Macaca mulatta: one gene and its partner. The protein of the gene in region 1 interacts with the protein of each later gene in a pairwise test. Links are inferred from orthologs where the notes say so. Each region holds a gene or a part of one and is shown on either strand. Other genes may lie near its edges.

The links. The genes of interacting proteins can lie anywhere in the genome.
Region 2: the proteins of HTT (region 1) and PPARG interact in binary tests that used the Homo sapiens proteins (3 or more experiments, as listed by UniProt). The link is inferred for Macaca mulatta from reciprocal best matches to the Homo sapiens genes HTT and PPARG.

Annotation. Positions count from the first base shown.
Region 1 is NC_133410.1:3,412,623-3,416,276, forward strand, and holds part of HTT (huntingtin), read left to right. Parts: intron 1-1,095; coding exon 1,096-1,210; intron 1,211-1,366; coding exon 1,367-1,580; intron 1,581-1,953; coding exon 1,954-2,059; intron 2,060-3,654.
Region 2 is NC_133407.1:151,232,421-151,236,074, forward strand, and holds part of PPARG (peroxisome proliferator-activated receptor gamma), read left to right. Parts: intron 1-2,364; coding exon 2,365-2,815; intron 2,816-3,654. UniProt on the Homo sapiens protein: Nuclear receptor that binds peroxisome proliferators such as hypolipidemic drugs and fatty acids.

The sequences.
Region 1 (3,654 bases):
GGAGGTGTGAGCCAGGGCACTGGCTGGTGGCTGTCTGGCAGGATTTGGGACATCCTGGAGCAGGGACAGTGGCTCAACAGGGGCCATTGCCCTCATCCAGGCCAGAGTGGCACAAGCTTGTGGGGAGGCCCTTCTCGTCTGTCATCCTTGCTGGGCGGTGGGTGCTGTGCTAGCAGGACGCAGGACAGGCGGACAGCTGGCAACTGTCTCTGCATCCCTGGAGCCTGGCATAGGGCAAGTCACACGGGGGACACAGGCCTGCAAATCAGGCACATGCGTTGGTGCAGCGAGGTGATTTTGGGGGGCAGCCCCACAACAGGCCCCAGGCACAGGCCAAAGCCCTGGCTGTGCTGGCGTGTTGGGCCGTCTATGGCTCTTGCTGTGGGCATGGAGGACTCAGGAAAGGAGAGTTGAGGTGGCCCAGGAGTTGCGTTTGGGATGCAGAGAGCTTGTGGCATCCAGGTAGAAATGGTGTGTGGGGCTGGCCTCAGTGCCATGGGCACGGGCTGTGTCACATGCCTCCGAGGTAGAGGTGGGATCACGTGGTGATGGATATAAGCATCACTGGGCACATTTCTGTGGGTGGAGGGGGGCATCTTATTGGCTCCTCTGTTCACAGTGGCCACTCATTCAGTCCCTGGCTACCGGGTCCCCATTGTGCCATGGGGAAGGCAGGTGCTGTCGGGGGATCACACAAGGCAGCACGTCATGGTGGAATGTGCCACGAAGGAAAAGCACAGGGCACTCAGGAAGTAGAGGGGACTGGCCTGGGGTGTGGGAATCCAGGGCCTCTTTGAGGGACAGAGAGAGGAAGTCTGTGGTGGCCAGTATGGAGGTGGCCACAGGGGAGGCTGGGCCAGGCCGAGAGGGCAGGGCGTGGAGGAGGTAGACGGGCTCAGCTATCCAGGGAGGGGTCGAGCAGAGGCTGAAGGGTCAGGCCAGGTTACAGGGGCCTGGGGAGCCACACAGGGTAGGTGCTCCCGGGAGCCAGCCTGGCCCGCAGCTCTTCACTCCCGCGTGTGGCTGGGCATGCTGCGAAGCCCTCTCTACGTTGGATGGGGGCGGCTGAGCCTGGCTGCTGTCTCCCGTTTTCAGCTGCGTGAACATTCACAGCCAGCAGCACGTACTGGTCATGTGTGCCACTGCGTTTTACCTGATTGAGAACTATCCTCTGGACGTAGGGCCAGAATTTTCAGCATCAATAATACAGGTGAGTGGGCCCTGACTGTCTTCCTCTGCACACGGGGAGTGGGCTTCCCTTCTCTTTTCCTTGCGGGATCATACCAGTGGGCCAGTTTTGACTTGGTGGGGAGGAGGCATGAACACCTGAGACCATGCAGCGACAGAAACCTTTCTCCCTGTGCAGATGTGTGGGGTGATGCTGTCCGGAAGTGAGGAGTCCACCCCCTCTATCATTTACCACTGTGCCCTCAGAGGCCTGGAGCGCCTCCTGCTCTCTGAGCAGCTCTCCCGCCTGGATGCAGAATCCCTGGTCAAGCTGAGTGTGGACAGAGTGAACGTGCACAGCCCGCACCGGGCCATGGCGGCTCTGGGCTTGATGCTCACCTGCATGTACACAGGTGAGCATGTACACAGTGCCCGCAAGGCCAGCCCAAGTCCTGTTCAAGGGAGACAGGAGCATGCTCGCTCAAGGAACCTAGACTAGGTGTCCTCTGATTTGACACTTTTAGTGTTGCCCCAAGCTGGCCCCATCACCTTGCAAGAGAGGCTCTGGAGCCCCCAGGGCTGGAGTACCTGGTCAGGGTTGACCACCCCTCTGGTCACTCATCCCATGTGGCTGAGCTGTGCTGGGTCCTGGGCTAGCGAGGGGCTCACATCACCTGCTGTCAGGTCTTCTCCAGTGATTCATTGGACTCCTGTGTACAAAGCACTATCTACAGAGCCTGTTGGGTTGTATAGATGTAACCTTCGTACTGAACACTTTTATTACAGGAAAGGAGAAAGTCAGTCCGGGTAGAACTTCAGACCCTAATCCTGCAGCCCCAGACAGCGAGTCGGTGATTGTTGCTATGGAGCGGGTGTCTGTTCTTTTTGATAGGTAAGAAACGAAGCCCCATCCCTCAGCCGTTAGCTTCCCTAGAATTTTGGCCTGAAGCTGAGCGTTTGTGTGTGTTGGCTGATCCCCTGGCGCTGTTGCTGGAGTCCCGCCAGTGATTCCTGACCACAGCCTGACCGTGGGCTGCCTTGGCTCAGGGTTCCACTGGCGAGCTGGTGGTCCTTGGACCCCAGCGCTCAGGTGTAGTGTTGACCAGTTCCAAGGTTGTCCCAGCGCCTGCCCATCTCTCCTGAGGGCTCAGGCACCGCACCTGGCCGTGTGGGGTATGGCAGGGGGCAGGAATGACCAGTCTCTGGGAGGGTGCGGCAGAAGCCTGCGCAGTGATGAGGAGTTGGCTCAGCCTGGCTGCCTGTCGTGAGAGGGGAGCCCACGGGGGTCTGTGGGAGGGGGTCCATGGTGCCTGTGAGCAGGGTGAGGGGCAGCAGCAGGAGGAGGAAGGTGAAACCCACACATGCATCTTTTGAGACCCGTGTGGTCAGTGGCTTCTCCTCGCTACCCCTCCGCCCCACTGCTGTGCGTGAATTGGTGTTGAGAATTGGCTTCGCTCCCCTGCTCTGGAAGTGGGTTAGGAGCTTCGTAGGGCTTTTTCTTAAGGACAAGGCTCCCTGATTGCTCTCAGGCCTCAGTCCTGGCGACATGGCGGATCTGGGGCGTTGTTGTGCTGCCTTGCCTGTGCTCTCCAATCAGGGTGTCCCAGTCCTGGCGACATGGCGGATCTGGGGCGTTGTTGCACTGCCTTGCCTGTGCTCTCCAATCAGGGTGTCCCAGTCCTGGCGACATGGCGGATCTGGGGCGTTGTTGCACTGCCTTGCCTGTGCTCTCCAATCAGGGTGTCCAGTGGGGAGCCATTTGGCTTTTCTCAAGAGCATACTCAGGTGGACTTTGCTCTATTCTTTGGCCAGATGAGGTGTTCTGAACAGCTGAGCCTGTGCTTGTCTGTTTTCATGTTTTTTTTTTTTTTTGAGATGGAGTTTTGCCCTTGTCACCCAGGCTGGAGTGCAATGGCGCGATCTCGGCTCACTGCAACCTCCACCTCCCGGGTTCAAGCGATTCTCCTGCCTCAGCCTCCCGAGTAGCTGGGATTACAGGCACGTGCCACCACGCCCAGCTAATTTTTGTGTTTTTAGTAGAGACAGTGCTTCACCGTGTTGGCCGAACTGGTCTCGAACTTCTGAACTCAAGTGATCCACCCTCCTCGGCCTCCCAAAGTGCTGGGATTGCAGGCGTGAGCCACCGTGCCTGGCCCCCATGTCGATTTTAAAACGCACCTCTGCATCATTCTTCAGTTCCCACATGCTCACTGAGCACCACCACAGCTGGCAGACGGACACAGGGAGGCGCCACGACCAGTCCTGGCCTTCAAGGGGCTTGTGGTCTAGTGGACCCAGTGCTAGGTGGCGAGTGCTCCAGAGAGCGTGGTGCATGCCTTCCGCTCTACCGCCCTCCAGACGCCGCAGGGAGGCACCTTGGAGCTGACCACAGATCTCCCTCCGTGGAGCACTGTCTTCAGCGCAGCCGCCATGCCACTGCTGGGCGAGGGTCTGCGGGCGGGTAGAGCCAGGAGCACCTCTGAGAAA
Region 2 (3,654 bases), on another chromosome or scaffold:
GTGGTGGCTCACACCTGTAACCCTAGCACGCATTTAGGGAGGCCAAAGCAGGACGATTGCTTGAGCCCAGGAGTTCAAGACCAGCCCGGGCAACATAGCAAGACCTCATCTCAAAAAATGAAATAATTTTTTTTTTTAGAAAAAGAAAGTCAGTATTTCATTAATATATATTATAATACACTATAAAATGCCTGTAGAACAAAGAAACACGTTTTTTCTAGGTTCTGTGACAGCATCATTATCCATTCAAATTTTTCTCATAATTAGAACCTGACATTCTGGAAAAATACAGTAAATTTTCATTGATGTTACTTGCTCTGCCCCCCTTTTATTTCTCCCATTAATAATATTAATCCTGAAAAGAAGAAAAGAAAAAGGAAAAAAACCACCCAAGCGAAATGTTTAAGAAATACGGTACGGACAGTTTGGTCCCTTGAAAAATTAGAGCCACCAGGTAAACCTGTTCTGGGGTCCTCACATCTGTCCCCTTTTGGAGTTTGGTAAGTAGTACAGTTGAAGTGAATTTTTTTGTAACAAAAGTAAAAACTTCCAGAATAACTCCAGTAAAGGGTGTTGACGTGACGTACAAGTTTGGAAATATATTTAACATCTGAGAGTCCTTAATGTTGGTGTTACTTCCTCCAGTATAGAACAAACTTAATCTTTTGATGAAAATCATAGAGTTCCATAGATATGAATAGAATCTCCAACCGGTGCATCTTGAAGCCAGCTGCCACGGCCACTCATGCACCTTCTCTGTGCCCATTCAGGAGAGAATTCTCAACATCTCTGCTCAAAACAGTGTTTACTTTTAGTCTATCAGAGACTTCATGTTTGTTGTGCATGCACACTCACAGCTCTCCACACACATGCCCACTCCCCACACACATCCTGCTTCTGAGAAATACAACTAGAATTTCCTCTGGAGAAGAGGTGGAAACCCCTGATTGAGAAATTTAAGGCCTAGGAAAGGTAAATGACTTTTCTTAAGTCGCATAGTTCACCACAGAACCAAAGCTAGAATGCAGATACCCTCAGCTCTTCTTCCAGTGCTTTCAGGTATACAAGTATTTGAACAGGATTCAAGGTTTAACTCCTTATGTGTCTTTCAGTGTATCCGGTGTAAGTAAAATGTTGCCCCTTAGAGCAGCCTTGAGAATTTCTCAATGACTACAGACTTTGGTTAGTTCTATACAAGGGAAGTGAGAGAGAGATAATGTCATGACCAAATGACTTAACTTTTGAAAGCAGCCTATTGCAAACTTAAATAACTGGGGCATGTATTTTATTGATTGACCTGTAAGGACAGATATTTTAAAATGTAAATTCAAAACTGTTTTTTGCAGCATTCACCTATAGGCCTTCTATATCTGCTCTTTGTGAAATAGATGGCTTCCAGAGCATTAAAAAAAGAAATAGACATTTTCTTGGTTCAATAGCTCTAATCTGCTTTCAGAGTGATTTTTTAATAGTTAAGCATATTTTATGTGCACATAGTTTCATTTGCGATCTGAGAGGATTTCATCTAAAACTGAAAAGTTATTACTCGTGAAGGAGAACAAAGGAAAAGGAAAAAAAAAGTTTAAGAAAAAAAAATTGTTTTAAGCCTCTAAAGTTGCTTTATGTTCAAGTGGGTATTTTCAACCCTGAGTTGCTGAAATGATTTTTTATTGAAAGAAGGTTAAAAGTGTATTTCATTGAAAGCCAAGATAAACAGTAGATTTTGTATCATTTTAAAAATCAACAATTGGCTGGGCATGGTGACTCACGCCTGGAATCCCAGCACTTTGGGAGGCCAAGGCGGGCAGATCACTTGAGGCCAGGAGTTCAAGACCAGCCTGGCCAACATGGTGAAAACCTGTCTCTACTAAAAATACAAAAACCAGCCGAGCGTGACAGTGTGTGCCTGTAATCCCAGCTACCCAGGAGGCTGAGGCATGAGAATTGTTTAAACCTGGGAGGTGGAGGTTGCAGTGAACCCTGATTGTGCCACTGTAATTCAGGCTGGGCAGCAGAGCAAGACTCTGTCTCAAAAACAAACAAAATAAATAAATAAATATAAAAATCAACAGTGAAGACTCCCCAAACAAAAGAAATTGGGATTCTTAGCCAGTCATAGGTAAAGTGTTACAGTGTAAATTAAAGGGAAAGAAGACCAAAATTGGTGAAATTTGTTTGGTCCCAGAAGATAATTAAGATGAATAAAAGAACTTGAGAGTATTTTCTCATTATTAAGCATCTTCAGCTTTAAAGATTTTAGTTAGCAAAGCAAGTTTACATAAAGAAACAGTTTTCTGAACTGGGATGGCATTCACTAAGTTAGAAATCTCCAAGTCACCCATGTTTTCCCTGTTTTATTTGCAGCCATTCGTTATCTATGACATGAATTCCTTAATGATGGGAGAAGATAAAATCAAGTTCAAACACATCACCCCGCTGCAGGAGCAGAGCAAAGAGGTGGCCATCCGCATCTTTCAGGGCTGCCAGTTTCGCTCCGTGGAGGCTGTGCAGGAGATCACAGAGTATGCCAAAAGCATTCCTGGTTTCGTAAATCTTGACTTGAACGACCAAGTAACTCTCCTCAAATATGGAGTCCATGAGATCATTTATACAATGCTGGCCTCCTTGATGAATAAAGATGGGGTTCTCATATCCGAGGGCCAAGGCTTCATGACAAGGGAATTTCTAAAAAGCCTGCGAAAGCCTTTTGGTGACTTTATGGAGCCCAAGTTTGAGTTTGCTGTGAAGTTCAATGCACTGGAATTAGATGACAGCGACTTGGCAATATTTATTGCTGTCATTATTCTCAGTGGAGGTAAGATTTGTCTTTTGATCCTCTATGAAAGAGGGTGGGATGATGGTGGGATGGCCAAAAGAATTTTGGATTTCCTTATTAGTCTGCGTTCTTTGTCGCTTTAAGTGCCAATGGCATAATGCCATGAATCACCTCTACACGTGCAAAACACTGTACCAAGAAAGAGTATCATAAGTTTGCAGTATGAAAGTTATGAGTAACCCAGGATCTTCTCTTTCTTCCCTCAACAATATAGTTTTTCCAATCAAATGCCCTCTTCTTTTTCTTTTCTTTCTCTCTTTCTTTCCTTTCCAGAAAGGAAGATTAGAGGCCAATCTAATCTTTGGTTCCTGTAAGTAATGGCATGTATAACTTTGCTTAAGACAATGCTTACTTGACGTAGAGAAGGAACTACTAAGTGTTTCTGGTCAAATCATGCTCCTGCCCTTCCAACAGTAAGATACTACTTTGAATTGCTTTCGTGATATCAGGAATTAAGGCATACCTACTGACCTCCACCCACTCTCTTGTGTGGATTCCTCTGATGGCTTCCCTTCAAAATACCTTTGTGAGGTAGTTGGTTGTGATTAAGAATGCAATCTGAACCGAACACACAACATAGAAATAAATTTAGTTATTTAGCAATTTGTTGTATTTTTGGCCCTGCAAGTACATGATCTGACTAACCAGTTCCAAAAGCCAGATTTTTTACTGAGTGTGGCTTTTTTTTCCTTTCCTTTTTTTTTTTTTTTTTTTTTTTTTGTGAGACAGGGCCTCACTCTGTCACCCAAACTGGAGTGCAGTTGCATGATCATAGCTCACTGCAGCTTCTAACTGCAGTTAGTAAGCTATGATCATGC